3 linked regions of the Drosophila melanogaster genome follow. The protein of the gene in region 1 interacts with the protein of each later gene in a pairwise test. Each region holds a gene or a part of one and is shown in the gene's direction. Other genes may lie near its edges.

What was found. Proteins that work in one complex are often made in the same cells at the same time.
Region 2: the proteins of Crk (region 1) and CG6280 interact in a two-hybrid assay, tested with the Drosophila melanogaster proteins (one large-scale study listed by BioGRID).
Region 3: the proteins of Crk (region 1) and CG14655 interact in a two-hybrid assay, tested with the Drosophila melanogaster proteins (one large-scale study listed by BioGRID).

The regions. Positions count from the first base shown.
Region 1 is NC_004353.4:208,544-213,671, forward strand, and holds Crk (Crk oncogene), read left to right. Parts: upstream 1-1,680; 5' UTR 1,681-1,819; exon of another isoform or gene 1,820-1,894; 5' UTR 1,895-1,911; coding exon 1,912-1,943; intron 1,944-2,014; coding exon 2,015-2,137; intron 2,138-3,046; coding exon 3,047-3,251; intron 3,252-3,310; coding exon 3,311-3,439; intron 3,440-3,571; coding exon of another isoform or gene 3,572-3,637; exon of another isoform or gene 3,638-3,731; intron 3,732-4,084; coding exon 4,085-4,186; intron 4,187-4,247; coding exon 4,248-4,472; 3' UTR 4,473-4,622; downstream 4,623-5,128. UniProt on the Drosophila melanogaster protein: Adapter protein which interacts with C-terminal portion of mbc, homolog of human DOCK180. May play a role in cellular processes throughout development.
Region 2 is NT_033778.4:13,752,016-13,759,514, forward strand, and holds CG6280 (uncharacterized protein), read left to right. Parts: upstream 1-1,948; 5' UTR 1,949-2,254; intron 2,255-3,324; 5' UTR 3,325-3,328; coding exon 3,329-3,553; intron 3,554-3,608; coding exon 3,609-3,760; intron 3,761-3,881; coding exon 3,882-4,719; intron 4,720-4,775; coding exon 4,776-6,842; 3' UTR 6,843-6,956; downstream 6,957-7,499.
Region 3 is NT_033777.3:4,776,954-4,782,256, reverse strand, and holds CG14655 (uncharacterized protein), read left to right. Parts: upstream 1-1,954; 5' UTR 1,955-2,182; coding exon 2,183-2,638; intron 2,639-3,137; coding exon 3,138-3,747; intron 3,748-3,917; coding exon 3,918-4,429; 3' UTR 4,430-4,760; downstream 4,761-5,303. Other genes in the region: Ccdc39 (Coiled-coil domain containing protein 39), read left to right, coding at 292-986; atms (antimeros), read right to left, coding at 4,818-5,303.

The DNA.
Region 1 (5,128 bases):
CGCGTTCTCGTCTCTTGTTTTTACTCACACAAGCAAGCAAATTATATTTTTAGATTTCTTACGCTCTCAGCGGGAGTGAGCCGAAAGAGAGTAATTTTGGCCGTCACCAAAAAAGTGGCTGCATAGTGCCAAACCAATGTATGGCCGTTACGCATCTTGTTATTCTAGTGTCTTTGGTTTGGCACTATGCAGCCACTTTTTTGGTGACGGCCAAAATTGCTCTCTGTCCGCTAGCTTACGCTGAGAGCGTAAGAAATCTTAAAATAGAACTTGCTTGCTTGAGTAAGTAAAAACAAGAGACGAGAACGCGTATATGTGTGCGTGTTGTTCTAGAAGACGATTTCGGGCCGAAATCAATTCTGACCGAAGAAACGAGTTTACATATTTGATGAAATTGCGCGCTGTTAAAAATATCAAATTGAAATATAACAAAAAAAAAAAAAAAAAAAAAAACTGGAACTGAAAAACAACTAAATCTAATGTGCATTTTAAATAACAAAAATTTTACATACATCATATTAAGTCAAATGACTTGAGAAATATACTAAATATATACGGAAATTATTATAACAACTTTAATTTAAAACATACATTTTCCAAAAAGAAGACATTACATTGAGAAATAAATATTTCATAAAAATAATACGAAGTAGAAAACAAAAATATATAAAAATAAAAAAAATATGTAAACTGTTTATTGCAAAAGTCATATCATAGACACTAGAATTATTCTAGTGTCTTTGCTTTGGTCATATCTTGAGCATGCAAAGGAATGGCTATTACAATATAATTTGATTAGTATGCTACGCAAACCTCTAGCATTTTGATAGGAAAAAGATTCGGACAAAGATTCGTTGTCAGTTTTTTGAAGAAGATGAAGAGGCGGATGGTGCAGTGGTCTGGCCATGTGAGGAAAGTTTATTTCCCACGGGCCCCTTTTTCCTATTTTTGATCCTAGCTTCAAAATCTTATATATCTTATGTCCATAGCGTAAGATAAGTTAAATTTTTCCACTTTTATATTACTTTTATATTATCGACTTTTGTTTTGTCTTGCATATAAGACCATACATCAGATGATTTTTGATCAGGTGAAAACCGAGAAACGAAAGTTTGTTTCTTAAGTGGAATCACCGCGAGTGGTTTTGGCCCTGCAGATTGTATTTCTGAAGTGCCAACTTGTGCCGGGAGTCCGGACTCAATGTTCCCTTGTGGTGGTAAACTAATCGGGACAGGTAGAATCACTGGTTAAGAAACCAGTGCAGACAATTCGGAATCTTTAGCAATCCCAGGGTGGGCTCCCTCCACAGCGGATTGATCGGATTGCTCCAAATCTTATTTAGCTGCCGATCTTAGCAACATATGCGGATTTTCTACGATTGACAGCTGATCAGTTGTGGAGTCAAAATAACATGTCAACCAGATATATTCGTATTCCTAATATTCCTGTAAATATCCTTGAATTGAACAGAAGAACAAATATATCGGTTTTACTTAAAAATTAGAATATCAAATTGATATGCATTGATCACGGTTTTACATTTAGATTTTAAAAGCTGACAGTACGTCCTAAAGGGGTTTACCACCACAGAGCAGTTGCTCGAAGGAGTTCTTTTCAATCGAATGTGCCCTGTGCAAGTGCCGCATTACGGTTCTACGGTACAATATTGGCATAAAACTTCCAAGTGGAAATAATCGATCAAACATTATCGATAGTGTTTCTATGTGTGGCCCAGCCAGATACACATATAAAAGGCAAATGTTTTAAGGCCAGAAATTCGAAAATGAAATCACTGAAGAATTCTGGTATATAATAGGCTGTATGCTATATTTGCATTATATCACATAATTTCTATTTATTTAATCTGGACGGAATTTGTTGTAATTTGTCTAAGATAAACCTTAAACGGAAATGGATACATTTGACGTTTCTGATAGGAACAGGTAATTTAAGATCAAGTGAAGATTAAACCAAAAACTATCAATTGTTTTAACATCAAAATGTGTTCTTAAAGCTGGTACTTTGGTCCCATGTCTAGACAGGATGCTACTGAAGTTTTGATGAACGAACGCGAGCGGGGAGTGTTTTTAGTCCGTGATAGTAACTCGATAGCAGGGGATTATGTACTTTGTGTAAGGTAAGTAAACAAAATTAATACATTCAGACTTTGATTGTGTACTTATCGTTTCATTTCTGTTAGCTAATTTTTATTTTAAAAATTAAACTAAAAATTGTGTATAGTGAGAAATACTTAATGTCAGCCTTTCTTAATCGCAGCTTACCATAAAGGTTTATATAGAAATTCCTGTTTCCATTTTAAGCATGTATACGTGTTTTATAGATGTACTTTAAACATTTATCTGTAATTTTTAAATATAAACAAATTTCTTACATTAAAAAAGGATATTCTTTTTAATAGACCTGGGTGAAAAAAGTAATAAGAAAGAGAAATCTAAAAATTTTTATCAATTTTGTGTGTTTCAGTTTTGGGAAACCTTAAAAATTGTGTTTGTTTTATTATTTCTTTCCCAGAAAATTTTTGAAATTTCTCTTTCCCATTCAACTAGCTGAGTAACGGGTTCTCTCTTGTTTTGTTTGATATTTAGATCCAATGGCAAGGGTCTATGGTCAATTTTGTATTTCTTTAATTTAGTATGGAATGTACCTTTAAGGACGATGATAAAATGTCAATGATGATCTCTCATAGCCATTGCAATTTAGTATGTTTTTAATATGTGCGCCATGTATTGACGGGGTAAATAAATTGAAGAATTTAACGACGTAAACAAAAATAATTACGAATTAAAGGAACTCAATTTCTACTGTATGTCTCGCCACGCGGCATTTATTAAAGAATTAGATGAATAAACGTCTCAAGAATATTCTTTTTGATTTTAAAAGTTCTTTATTAATATAAATGTATATACATTAGAATATTAAAAATAGGTTTTCATATTTAAACTTGAAACAAATTTTTGTTTAGTTTTTAAGGATTTTGCGCCTGTTATAAAAGAATTGTTTACTTATAAAGATTTTTATTATTTAGAGAAGATACAAAAGTTAGCAACTACATCATTAACAAAGTTCAACAACAGGATCAAATCGTTTACCGCATTGGGGATCAGTCTTTTGACAATCTACCGAAACTCTTAACTTTTTACACTCTTCATTATTTGGATACAACCCCTTTAAAACGGCCTGCGTGTAGAAGGGTGGAAAAAGTAATAGGAAAGTTCGATTTCGTTGGCAGCGTGAGCATTTACACAATTATTCATTTTTGTAAGTAATTTAATTTTCTTATTTATCAAAGGATCAAGATGATTTACCTTTTCAAAGAGGTGAAGTTTTAACAATAGTTCGAAAAGACGAGGATCAATGGTGGACTGCGCGTAACTCCTCGGGGAAAATTGGTCAAATACCGGTTCCCTATATACAACAGGTGCGTTAAGCAAATATTTGGATTTGTTATCCTTTTTTGTAACGGGTAACCCGTTTTTAATTTCTTTGTTTCCTTATAACGCTGATGTTAAAATACTACACTTGAAATGAATGGTGAATTCGGTAAAACCAGTCGCGTCAATTTTTATGGAATGCAAATAAAACTTTCGATACGGCGACACTAACGCTAGGATATTAATAATGTAAAATCAGAAAGAAACCCGAAAACTAGTGAGACGTATAAGGGTCAATAATGTCAAAGAGTCGCCAGAAGTAAATATGTAAAAATATATGTATGTATGTAAAAAATGTAAATTGAGCTCTTTTCCCCACGCCTATTTTATGACTAGCGGGTATCTGATAGCCGAGAAACTTGTTCAGAAATAATTATTGAGTTCATGTAATAATACCCTTAAATTGTTGCGATTAGATTCTTTAAAGTCTGACTACAATCTCAATACATTATAAAATCCATTACAAAAACCATTTGCATTGAATTAAACTGACAATGGACAAGCTCCATTGCCTTCAATATATTCGTCCGCTTAAATAGAGAAGGCCAAATTGCGAACGACCTTTGATAAATAAGTTTGTTAAAGGCATTGATTTTTAAAAGTTAAATCATTTTCAAATTTGTTCTTTTCAGTATGACGATTATATGGATGAAGATGCTATTGATAAAAACGAACCTTCCATTTCGGGATCTAGCAATGTATTTGAAAGTACTCTTAAAAGGACAGATTTAAATGTAAGTGTTCCAAAAAAGTATTTAAAAAAAAAATAATGTTTTACATTTTAATTTATCGAAGCGAAAACTACCTGCATACGCCCGCGTAAAACAGTCAAGGGTCCCTAACGCATACGATAAGACTGCATTAAAATTGGAAATAGGTGACATTATTAAAGTCACTAAAACAAACATTAATGGGCAATGGGAGGGAGAATTAAATGGAAAAAATGGTCATTTTCCCTTCACGCACGTTGAATTTGTCGATGATTGTGATTTAAGCAAAAACTCCACAGAAATATGCTAAATAGGAAGGAATGGAAGGAATTTCTTTTGATAATTTTGATTTTTGAGCTAATTGTATGATTAATAAGTTGTGCATACCAATTGTTAACATAATCAGAAAATTAAAATCTTATTAAGTAAAATAAAAATAAACGGGTACGAAGGACATAATAAAATTTTTACCGTTTTTTCGTATGATTCTTATACAAAAAAATTATGAATTTGAAAATCGATTTGGTTTTTTTTATGAATTGTGTAACTAAACGGTAGGTGCTACAGAAAACCCTTTGGGCCTTATATTTTTTATACCCGTTACTCGTAGAGTAAAAGGGAATACTACAATAGGTTCGTTGAAAAGTATGTAACAGGTGGAAGAAAGCGCTTCTGACCATATAAAGGCTGTTCAATATACAAAGACCCCAAAAGCCGGATACATCTCCGAGTAACGCCAGAACGCCAGAAGTTTTTTTATCACCCGCAAAGAGGTCCTTATTTGGCCCTTCGACCACCTTCCAAAATTTGATATTTCCAAACGTCCATAATTCGAGGCTAACAGAACCTACCTCTAAGGCACCAACTCTACAAGCTGCCCAAACTAATTTGACGTCGAATCCTTAATCACCGACGCATCACCAACGCAGTATTAAAACTATGACATATACTTTGCAGCATCATATG
Region 2 (7,499 bases), on another chromosome or scaffold:
ACTCCCCATTGATTGTAATTACCTTTTTTCCTCTCCTACATACATATATTTCATTTGCCCTGCGCACTTAATTAGCCGACTGCCACGCCCCCCCATTCACCTCCATCCCACCGACTTTTCCGGCCGACTGGGCTTTTTGAGGGTTTGAGGGGAAGTACAATAAGTAAATATGAGCAATGCCGGTCCGGTAACGAAATTAAGCGAATTGCTTTTAATAGATTTTTCCGCCATTTCAGCGATTTCCTTCTTTTTTTTTCAACATGATTTTATTGTCCCATTTCGTTTGCGGTCACAAGGCATTTCAGAGATTTCGTTGATTTTCCAGTGCTGTTGCAGTGCGACCAGTTTTTCTTGGGCGGAAGGAAATCGACTCCAGGTGACTTCTGTTACAATTTTACCGAAATGCTGATCCGGCAAAAATTAGCCAAGTCAGTAGTTGCTGGTCACGGCAATTTATGGTTCGCATTTTCCCGCACTTGCTTGGCTTATGCAATCAACCCCTCCCCCCCCCCTGGCTTTTCATCATAATTGTCGTTGGGGTTTGGTGCGATTTGGTGCGGAAAAGGCCGGAGGAAATGCCAACCGAAATGGTGATCTCGGCTACAAGTTACAGTTTCCAGTTCTCCACACCAGCCTCATGGGTGAAAGTCAGTTGTGTGTACATGGGGCATGCAACATGTCTTTAATGAGATGCACGCAGATAAAGAAGCTTACCGATTACGGATGGCATAAATCACACTAAAAATGATCGTTGGATCTATATGTTCGGGTAATGGAGGCATTAGCTCTGCCAGAACGCCCACTTTCCCCCACATTTGTTTTGGTAGTTATCTTGCCAACTACAAAATAAAAAAGTAATGCTGCCTGAAATAGGTATAAATAAAGCATTTTAATTAAAATAGCAAACATTTTTGTTGCATGACAAATCAATAAATTGGTAAATTAAATTTATACTAAACTGATGTAATACTCGGAATTGAAAAGTTGCTGCAATGGTTGCCATTCGAAAATTAAATGATCTGTTCAAATGACCATTTAAATTCATGCAATTCCTCGACTCACATAATTTTGTCATAAAAAATAAAAATATCTTCAAAGCGCGCACAACAAAACAAAAAACAAAAGAAAAACGATAGCATTAAATATGCAATAAATAAAATGAATTACCAAAGCATTAATAAAAAAGACGCATTTTAATAAATCAGACAGAAATAAAAAAACAAGTCCACCGCTGTGCCGCCGCACGCAAAACCGCATTCACATTAATCAATCAGCCAAAAACGTCAAACGCTCCACAGCAACAACGGCAACTCATTAAAAATTAATGAAAACACTCCGGTGGAAAATCGGAGGAAAAGCGTATGAAAACAATGCGTTCGTAAGGTGATCGAACCGACAGGTGTGTAAACTGAATGCGATAATTGCGCTGCAGGTGTTTATGGGGCAAGGAAATGCGGCAAGATATTTATGTCAACGAGCCAAAAAACAAGTGGCAAAGGGCGTTTAGGCCACGACAAGGGCTTTCATAGCGGATTTAGCCACATGCCTTTCTGGCATTTGCCAGGCCGAAAACCAGTTTCAAAAGTTTTCCCGCGCTCTTACCAGTTTTGCATTTTTTCTTTGGTTTTTGTTTTTTTTTTGTATATATTTTTCGGCAGGGTCAATGCTGCCGTCGTAGAAAGCCATAAAAACCAAATTGTCATTGACGTGAAGGAGCAAAAAAGACAGCGTCGCTTGCGCAATCGCTGGATGGACAAGTTTTGTGCTACACTTTAAGGATCGCAGCAGCAACATCAGTCGCAGCAGCAGCAGCAAAATCAGTCGCAGCAGCAGAAGCAACAACATCGGCGACGACAGCAACTTGCAGCAGCCCACGACGATGAAAAGAAAACGAAATGCTCAGTGCCCCACGGTTTCACTTTCATTCGCAACGCGCACGCGCAACTGGCAGGGTCGCACGAAAAGAGCACCTGAAAACCGATATTGCATCGAGTTCGATTTCCCCGCCAAAAAAAAAAAACGAAAATAAAATAATAATAAGAAGAGAAATACACTTTTGTGCCATTGCAGACGAGCTCGGCGGCGAATTACAATTGTTTTAATCGAATAGAAAAGTGATTATAAGTGCGTTTTAATTGTGCGGCAATCAATATAAATAATTGAGTGTTTTCATTTCATTTGGCCTGGCCGCATACAAATTCTACGACAAAACACGAATAAATAAATTCCATCGCGCAGTATTTAATGGATGCAGGTAAATGCAAAAAGCGGAATATATTTTAAATGCCCATTTAGCTGCGCAAATTATAATGCATTTCCTCTGCGGGCGTAAAGCAAGAATAATTTCAATGTGCAAATTGAGTTAGTAACGAATGCAATTTGCTTGTGATTTAACGCAAAGGACTTGTATGGATATATTCAGTGAAGGCAGCACCATCATCAAAGGTGCCTTATATTTATTGCCAATCGAAAGGACTTAGGACATATGCATATGAAATGCCTCCCGTTTAATAGCTCCGTTCAGATCGTTATCCATGCCCAATTAAAGCCACAATTTCCCTACTGAAAGCTCCACTTTCTTGTGTTATTTGGCCAACAAGATAGTCTGCAAGACCGGCTGCAAAGCGCCACGGGCCACTTAGCCATGAATATTGCAGGTGAAATATGTTTTGGCATGCATATTTAATGCCTATCAAAATACAGGCGCAGTGGCCAAACTATGTGAAAACCCGTACGAACCATTTTAAACGCCATCAATTTCAATTTTCCAAATTAAATGCGTTGTTGCAGCGGGCAGGGGGAGAAGGGGTTCAATGGAGTTTTTTGGGGGGGGGGGGTTAATTAATAATTCATTACGTTGCCAGTAGCAATGACATAAGCCCCAAGCGCAAACGCAGCGCCAAGTTCAACAACTTGGCAGGAAAAACGACAAACGTTTTAGGGAAAATCTCTTTTAAAGCAAAGGAGAAAGAGAAGCGCCAAAGTGCCTGCCTTGGCAGCCACTTAGGAAAAATCATCATCCAGCGACGTATCGGTTAAAATCAAACAGCCCGACAAGTGAGTGGCCATAGTAGTCAGGAGTGGAGTGGAGTGCAGTGGATTCGAGTGGCTTGGTTTCAAGTGGAGGCTATTGGATGGCCTTTGGAGCGGGCCCAAACAGGCTTGACGACTCCTCCATTTGTCGCTTGGAATTTGTCGTGGTCGCCGGGGTTATTCACACCACCACCACCACCACCACCACCAGCATCGATACCACTATTCGCACGCCAAAAAGCCCAACAACTTCCAGCTAACTCTTTCTGCTTTTGGCCATTTCCGTAATAGCTCCATGTGGCCCCACCGCCACCAACGACATCTGCTAACGGCGGCAGCCACGCTCTGCTGTCTCTTGGCCATCATCGTCCAGCCGGCCCTTTCGGATGAGCCCCCCATCCTTACATCCTCATCAACACCACCATCCTCAGCAGCAGTCTCGGCCCCTGGCGATCTCCCCCAGAATTTGACGGTGGAGGCAGCGGCCACTGAAGCCCTGAGTGACAGCAGCGGCAAGGAGGTAAGTCCGAGTTTAGTGAAAGATTTTGACAGGCAATGAGCGTCGCTTTTGACAGCTTAATAAGCAGCCAGCCGAGCAACTCATCCGCGAGGTCATCGAAGGTCCAAACTTGGCCGACGAAGTGCGCGTGGATCCGGATCTGGAGAGGGAACTCAAACGGGAAGGGGAAGATCCTATAGAAACAGAAACCGAAACGGAGTTCGTCGGGTAAGTCAACAGTCAAAAGGAAAAATGAAAAGGCTTCATCAAAAATCTTAAAGATAGTTTTGCTGTCTTTCAACTTAAATATGCAAATAATTATAAATAACAAGAGGGTTATTTTCTACAGTGTTCCAGGCTTTCTGCCCACTGCTCTGCCTCCCAAAGATTCAGACAGTCCCACCAATGGACATGGTTACATCCAGTTCGAGATCAACGATGAGCTGCCAGTGGAAGTGGCTCGTCGACAAAGACCCATTGAGCAGACAGTGACCCGCTCGCGAACGGAAACCGTGAACGAGGTGCTGTCCAATCTGTTCCCCAAGGGATTCTCGGACATTTTCCGATTTAGTGGCAATACAGATACATCCACCACCACGTCTACGACCACGAATAAGGCGGTGGTCCGGCCAACAGTTGTGGATGTGGTCAGTACCACAGAGGCAGCCAGCACTGAAAAGCAAACGAAGCCTCCAGCGCCGAATGCCACCTACTACAGTTACCAAACCACAGTGACGAAGGAATACCGTCGAGAATTGGGACCAGGTCACACGGAGATAGTGGTTGAGCAGATTAGGGATCCGGGATTCCGAGATGGCAGTAACCACATTTCCCGAGATGAGCTGCTTAGGATCAATCGAGCTGCTGTGGCGGCTCCAGTGCTGCCCAGTGTGCTGCTCCAACCGGAGGGCGATGACAACGAGACTCTAGTGGCAGCAGAAAGTTCTCCAATTGTGATCCTGGGCGAACACGATCCGGACCTGGAAGAGGGGCAGGAGATCAATGACAACCAGATTGCGGAGACACGCCACGTGGGCCGGGAGGCCTACCAGCAGCGAGTTCCAGTTCCAAATTTCAATGGCATCGAGAGTTATGCCAACCAAAAGGGTCCCGGTCAGGATCAGGAGATCAATGTGCACATCGTACACGACGGACCACAGGGAAAACCTCAGCAGGCAGAGGCAAAGGTAGGATGGCATTGGAGAATCCGAAATGATAATACACATATTACACATATTTTCAGACACCCAAGGAGTCCCAGTCGCAGCCTGCGCAGCAGGCCTTGGATCACTTCCAGGCGCACAGTGAGCAGAGATTCCAGCAGCATCATCCCAGTCAAGAGGCACCATCACGGCAATTCCTCAAGAGCTTCAATCCCATTGTCTCCGGAAGTGGCGACGGACCCCTCCCGAAGGGCAGTTTCCACTACGAGGTGCAGAATCCTCCACAGCGCCCGAATCCACGGACGCCGAAGGAAGGAGACTACGCCGGCCAATTTGTGAAACCTGCTGCCCAGTTGGCCTATCAACAGGAGCTTAGCCAGGTGATACCACAAGAGCAGAGCAAGCCGCAGCAGCAGTCGGAGTTGCTGCACACCAAGGCCATATCGTCGCCTGCGCCGGATGTCCAGCAATATTCTGGCTATGCAGGTCCCACACCCGTTTCCGCCACTCCAAATAGTCTGGTGTTTGTGACCTTGAACACTCCAAGTCCACCCCACTCCTCGGCGGCACCATCCATTGCGCATACGCCATTTGAGCCAGGAGTCCAGATCACAGTGAATCACCCGGCTCCCCATAACTACGTTGCCGAGGCTCATGCCGAGCCCTCCCAGACCATCATCCAACATGCTCCAGCTCCAGCTCCAAAGAAGTCCACTCCATACACCTTTGTGGAGGTTCAGAAGTCTGTGAACATCCACAACAAGCTAATCACGGAGAAGGATGGCCGATTGGTGGAGCAGCACGAGACCATTTACCCCCAGCCATATCCGCAGAATCACCTTTCGCAGGCACCTGATCCTTCCAAGAGTTACGCATCTCTGGCTAAAAATCCTATTCACGTGGAATACGATAGTACGCCCCAGGAAGTGGCCGTCTCGCATGCCTCCGTCCATTTGGATACAAATCATTCCGGACTCACAGCTCCAGGTCATAGTGAACAAACGGTTCACCCAGGTCCAGTGTATACGCAACCAGAGCAACACCCGGAGCCCCAGATACATCAGATTCATCAAGATCATCACATAATCCATCATGAGCCTCAGCCAGAGCATGAGCCTCACTTGCATCAAGATCACCTGGAGCATCATGAGCATCCCTCACTGCAGCCATATCACGTGGAAAAACTTAAAGACCACGATCATCATGTCAAACAGGTGGTGGAGAAGCACATACCCATACCATATGCCGTTCCACAACCTGTGCCCGTGCCTGTCCACGTGGAGCACTACGTGGATCGTCCGTACCCAGTGGAGACCATTGTCGAACATCCCGTTCCATATCCCGTGGAGAGGGTGGTGGAGAAAATCGTCGAGAAGCATGTGCCCGTTGAGGTGGAGCGCATTGTGGAGAAGCCCGTGCATGTGGAGAAGATTGTGGAAAAGTTTGTGGACCGACCGATGGCGATTCCGATACATGTCCCCGTGGCCATTCACATGCCCATGCCGCCGGGACACTCCTCGCTGTCATTTCCCCACTACTCCCACCCCAATTCCCTAACGCCCTGGACCCACTCCGTTGCCCACATTCCACCGAAAGTGTTGCAAAACTATTACACACGGATGCTGAAGAAGTTGCTGCCACAGCTCACCGCCAAAACCCCTATCCCCCAATCTCCCAAAGCGGTCAAGTTGAGCAAGCCGGTGGCGGCCATCAAGCAACCAGTGAAACCCGTGAGGGGAGAGGCGCCCAAGGTCGCCACCTTCAGTTTGGCTGACATGAAATTCGACCTTCGACCTCCACCGCCGCCACAGGGCTCACCTTGGTTGCAGGGATCCCGATATATCTATAATACCCTTCCCGCCGATTTGGCCACCGCCGCCGCCTCGACTCCCACCAAAATGGTTAAGTCCTACATTGGCGTCGTTCCAGCTCCAACATCTGCGAACTCAGACGTTGGGGATTCCCCGCTCACCAGCGAGTTCGATGAGTTCCAGCGATGGCGCAACGGACACTCCCTGAAGCGCAGTCCCGACTTCGGGCGCAATCTTCAGCTGGAGTATGGATTTAAGCCCCCTTTGGTGCCGTCCATGGAGATCGACGACAAGGGCAATCCCCTCAAGCAAGCCGAACAATCGGAGACCCAGTGAAATTGAAGCTGGTAGAGCGGAGAAAAAGCGTGCCAAAATATAATGTTATAGTAAATATTATCTATTTATATAATGTATTTAAAGCAAAGCATTTAATAAAATTATATTAACTTTACAAAACATTATAGAAGACATTCAAGGTATCTATGAAATGGCTAAATTATATATAAGCTTCACATATTCATTTAAACTTTTGTTGTAAGGTGCGACTTCTTGGATTTGTAAAGTGGAAAAATCTCAGACCAGCACTTTGCAAATTGCTGACAAGCCCCAAAGAAAAGTGCACATGTGGCAGTCGGCAAGCAAATGCTTAGCTCGGTGGCAATATTAATTAAACAAATGAGAGTGACAACCCTGGCAACTAAGTCTCTGTACCCAATTAGATGGGCCTAGGACTGGCATAAAAATTATGAATTTCCTCAAGTAACCATGCATGCAAATGAAAAATGCCCCCATTTGTGAGCGTAAAAGGGTTCCTCCAGTATCCCACATTTCTTATCAGCCCTCAAACAGGCGCCACGCCCCTCCAATTCGGGGCACACACGTATCGCATAAGGGTGCCCAAGTGCAAAGATTTATATGACAGCTCATAAATTTACAACACATGTAGCGCCCAGCAGATATTAGGAGATACGAATATTCTTCGGTGACAAGCCA
Region 3 (5,303 bases), on another chromosome or scaffold:
AGGGTTACTAGTATTAGCAACATTGCTCTAATTTTGAATTTTAATAACACTCACAGATACAGATATTGAATAGGAACAAATTAGGTTTTCTGGCTCTATAAAGAATAGATATTCTTGATCAAGATCCATACCTGAGTCGATCTGGCCATTTCCGTCCGTCCGTTCCGACTTTCAGTAACTATAATAGCACATTAAGCGGTCATATTCTAGCCATGTCTACAAGCCGGGTGGCTTAGAATTGTGTAATTCAATGTTAAATTGGTAGATTTTTTCCATACTTCTAATTTCTAGATCGCGAGCGGGCCGAACTGGAGCTGAAGGAACTTGAGGCGGCCTACTGCCGCGAGCTGGAAAAACTGAAGGTTCTCAGGTGCAAGGCACAGCACTACCAGCAGAAGCACGCAGCCCAGCGAGCTGAGGAGGAAGACCTGATTTCCAAAATAGAGAAGGCGAAGGCTAGTCGGGCGGAGCACTCTGCAGTTCTGGAGAAGATCGAGCGCGAACTAGATGACCAGCGAATGAAGCTGGACAGGGCCAATCGAGAGATCCGGACACAGTTGCGGGAGATCAAGGCGCGGCCCTTTAGCGAGGAGTACCTGGCGCAGTTCGAGCGGGATCTGTCTCTACAGGAGCTGGAGGCGCGTAACACCAAGGCGCTGAACATGATCACCGATCTGGCGAACAGCGACGAGAGCGGCACGGATATAATTGGAATCCTCTTGCGAAAAGGAATCAAGTTGCCGATGCACCTGAAGCGCACGTGCAGCCGCGTGTCCTGGAACAGCAGCTCCTCGGGCAAGTCCTCGCAGGGTCAGGACACCGCCTCCTACCTCAATGTTAAGGGCAAGAAGTTCTCCTGCGACGGGGCTAGTGCCCGGTCCTCCGTCTCCGACATGAGCTCCCTTAAGGATGACACATCCTCCACAACCTCCCACTCCGGACTGAGCATCATATCGCTTGAGTTGCCCTTGCCGAAGAAAAAATAATAGTCTAAAATATATTTATTTATTATTCCGTTCGATATCCGATGATCTCAACCCGTATGCTCGTATCTTCACGTGTTGGCATCGCAGTGTTTACAAATTGACCATCTAAACGAAACAGCGAATAAAATGCGTTGCCCAAGCGGGTCAAAACAAGAGAGCATCGCGGCCATAAAAATAGCACACAGCGATTCAGTGGGGGTATAGCTCGGTGCACATACACATAGGCGGACAAATGTGTGTGTCTAGGCGATTGCTTGTTTAAATCGCTGAATAGTAAATACTCTACAAAAGTATTACACAAAATATGTATATTAGCTACCACCTTTGGTGTGGGTTTTGTATTGGTTTTGATCAGATCTCAAGTAAGCTCATTACAGCATTAAGATTTAGACGGATATGCTAATTCAATCTGAAATACTCAATCTTCGTATTTTCCTAATAAAGAAATATATATAATAATAATATTTTCTCAGTTCTTATTTACGAAAATGAAACGAATGATTTTCACTGGTCCGAAACTAAAATCGAAAGAAGAAATCTCCAATAAGAGTACATATTAATGTGTTTACTTTTTATGGAGTGCTTAAAAAATGGAGCGACAATTGCAGTAACCAACCATATTCCAATTGGATATTGGCGGAAAAGCCAATTATTAAACCAATCTGGCGATAATGATAGATCTCTAGATAAGTCCCGCAAATCGCATGTGGTCATCTCAGCGAATTGCTCCTGCGCATCGTGCGTTACAAAGACTAGAACGAAGGCTATATGGCCGCCAGTGCAACATATATCGGCCAGAAATAATTCTACATACATATAGTATATAGCCGTGCTCAGAGCTATATTTCGAAATGAGCTACCCAGAGACACGGAGAAAAGAGACTGCCTTGTTCGAGAGATGGGATTTCGGTGCTGCGAGTGTTTCCGAAAGTCTTCTTGACGATTCGACGATCCGCGCCGGGCATTTCATTATTTTTCATTATTTCGTTAGCTGGCATCGGTGCCGAGAAGTCAGATTGCTGGGCCCAAAGTTTTCAAAAATCTTCACTTGCTGATATTTTTAGAAAATTTTGAAAGCAGAAAGACTAGGCAGTCTGGGAATGGACTCCTGAATAGATGATCACAGACCGAACAGGAGGATAATCCCAATAGGAGGTGAAGCATTTGCATAAGATTCGATTGAGTGCACTGGCGAAATGTGTTCCACCTCGGTGCTGTGTCCGCTCTGCGCGGTGCCCAGTTTCGGCAGTATTGACGCACTGCAGCAGAGGCTGATCAAGGCGGCCAACGGCCCACTGGCCTGTCCCTTTGCCAACTGCAAGGAGCTCTTCCTGGGGCTGGACAAGCTCACCATCCACCTGTTCTCGCACACAAGTCTGATGGCTCAGGAGGGAAACGAGAGTCCAGCGAATGGCCAACCCGCCTCGTCCCGGGGCTTCCTTGCCGCAGCTCCTCCCAAACGGAGGGCCAAGCGAACCAGGTCCAAGCCCGTCGTCCCAACCCCACCGCCTGTGCGGACCACCCCGCCCGCCCACTGCGACATTTGCGAGTTCAGTTTCCGGAATACCGAGCTGAGGGACATGCACGTCCGCTTAGTCCACGAAAATGCGGAGGGAGAACCCAAGCAAAAGGAACCCCAACAGAAGGAACCGGTAACTATTGGCTATGTACATATATTAAGTGCTATTATCTAAAGAGTTTCGTAATGCACTTTCGCATATTCTTATATCGATTTTGATTTTTTTTTTCTATGCTCACTGGCAGCAAAAAAAAATCATACTTAAAAAGCTAGACCATTTACATTGAATCTGAAACAAAAGTTTGACGTAATTAAAATCAACAACAACAAGAAAGAAATCTATATACCCTTATATTTTAAAAACAACTGATGTATGTACGTATATCGTTCCCATTATTTTCAATTAATTTTTCAACTGTTCATATGACTATGTATATATATGATAGATATTAATTTGTTTTTGATCAATTTAAAACCATGGCAACTTTGTGATATAGTGAATGAAAGTGAATGATTTTTGTGCATAAATTTGAAACTGAGAGACAGACGGTAATGTAATGGAATATTTGGCCATGAGGGCATATTGATGAATTGATAAATATAAGTGAAATTCCGATTATTGCTTTATACAGGACCAGGAGCCCTACAAGTGCCATCTCTGCTCCAAGACGTTCCGAATGAAGGGCTCCCTTCGAATCCACCTGAAAGTAGTGCACATGATGGGCGTGCCCTGCTCCAATCCCAATCCAAATCCTAATCCCAGTCCTACACCCGCTTCTACCACCAGTGCAGTTACTGCCACGCCCAAGCTGAGCATTTGCGATCGCATTCGACACACAGAGCCTGGAGCCCTTGGCAACGGAAATAACTCCACGTGCACCGCATCCCAGCCATACGCGCTGAGTGGGGCGCTGAGCATGCTCCAGCAGTCCCCCAGTTCGCCGGAGTCGGGCACGGCCACCCCGAAGCTGTGGGAGTGCGATGTGTGCAGCAAGTCCTTCACCACCAAGTACTTTCTGAAGAAGCACAAGCGGCTCCACACCGGCGAGATGCCGTACACATGCGAGATCTGCGCCAGGACCTTCACCTTCCAGCAGTCGTACCACAAGCATTTGCTCTACCACAGCGAGGTAAAGCCCCATGTCTGCGGGGTTTGTGGACGCGCCTTCAAGGAACTGTCTACGCTGCATAACCACCAGAGGATTCACAGCGGCGAAAAGCCCTTCAAGTGCGAAGTCTGCGGTGAGTATCGATCAAACCCCTTAATTAGCCGCCCCTTATTTTGTTAGCCAGCTTATAAATGAGCATACTCCATTGCGATTTGCCCTATTTACTTTAAATGAAGGAGAGGTATACCTTCTTTTCCGGGTCACTCCATGTCTAACCTTTTCGTATTTCGGACTCGTCCACAGGCAAGTGTTTCCGGCAGCGAGTCTCTTTCCTTGTCCACACGCGCATCCACACGGGAGTGATGCCCTACAAGTGCGAGCTCTGCCAAAAGACGTTCAGGTACAAGGTCAGTCAAAGGACCCATCGATGTCCCACCGAGGAGGCCCAGACACCGGAGCAGCTGATAAAGGCGTTCCTGGAGGGCAACGACTCGCATACTCAGCCTTCACCAGCGAGCGCCGAAATAGCTGCCATCAACAGCAGCTCCATTGTGGATCCTGAGCAGGAGGCACTGCTTTCGCAGTCAATCGACGACATTGTCGTTGAGCAGTGCCAAAAGCTGGGCATCTGTGGTGTGGAGCCGCGGGAGGAGGGACAGCTCATATCCCTACAGCCGGTTGCGGTGGTACACTTCAGCGGGAATGGCTCTCCGCTGCAGCAACTCCAGAACTTGAGAATCTACTCACCGCAACAAACAGAGCTACCTAGTTCCGATGGCGAAGTCTTCCAGCGCTTTTTGATGGACGCCACGTAGTTGGAACGAAGATGCATATATCCACTTAATTTATACCCTTTTATATCATTTTACATTGTTTGCACTTCCCCAAAGGCGATCTAATCAATTCCTAAGCACCCCCTAAGAAAAACGTCTTAATTACATCTTCTTATGAGGATATTATTTGAATCTTAGTTGTTTTATCTCAGCCAAGTGTAAATCGACTAGGACCCGACTTGTTTGCAATACAACAACAACATCTAATATAAATTATGTTAAACTGCCGATTTTATTTAAAACTATTCTGGGCAACGAACCCGAGCGCTGAGTTGAGGCGAAAATGATATTAAATCGAGTTAGTTCAGTTTTCAAATGTACTTGGTTGATTATAAACTTATTTATTATGAACGCCGTTTTTTGTAATTAATCATTCATCTGAGGCGCTTCCAGAGCTGGATCCTGAACCAGAAGGCGAGCCACTGCGAGACCGGCTGGGCGATCGCGACCCAGAGCCAGATCTGGAGCCCGAACGTGATCGGGAACCGGACTTGGATCTCGACCTAGAACGCGACCGAGAGCCGGACTTGGAACGGGATCGGGAACGTGATACCGATCTCGATCTGGATCCGGATTTCTGGGATCCTGCCGGCGAATTTGTGCGTGATCTGGAGCCGCTACCAGACCGAGAACCAGACTTTGAGCGGCTGCTGGCCCGAGAGCCGGAGCCAGATCCAGATCCTGAACTGGACCCGCTGCGAGTTCGACTCCGAGAACGAGACTGTCGATCGCGGGCTACCTGGGCGGGTGAGTCCGCTCCAGATGCTGCCTGTGCGCCAACAGCTGCGTCCTCGCTCGTCTTCTCCGTCTCGCCAATGATTTGCATTTGCTCCTCTTCCCTCACTTCTTCCACGAT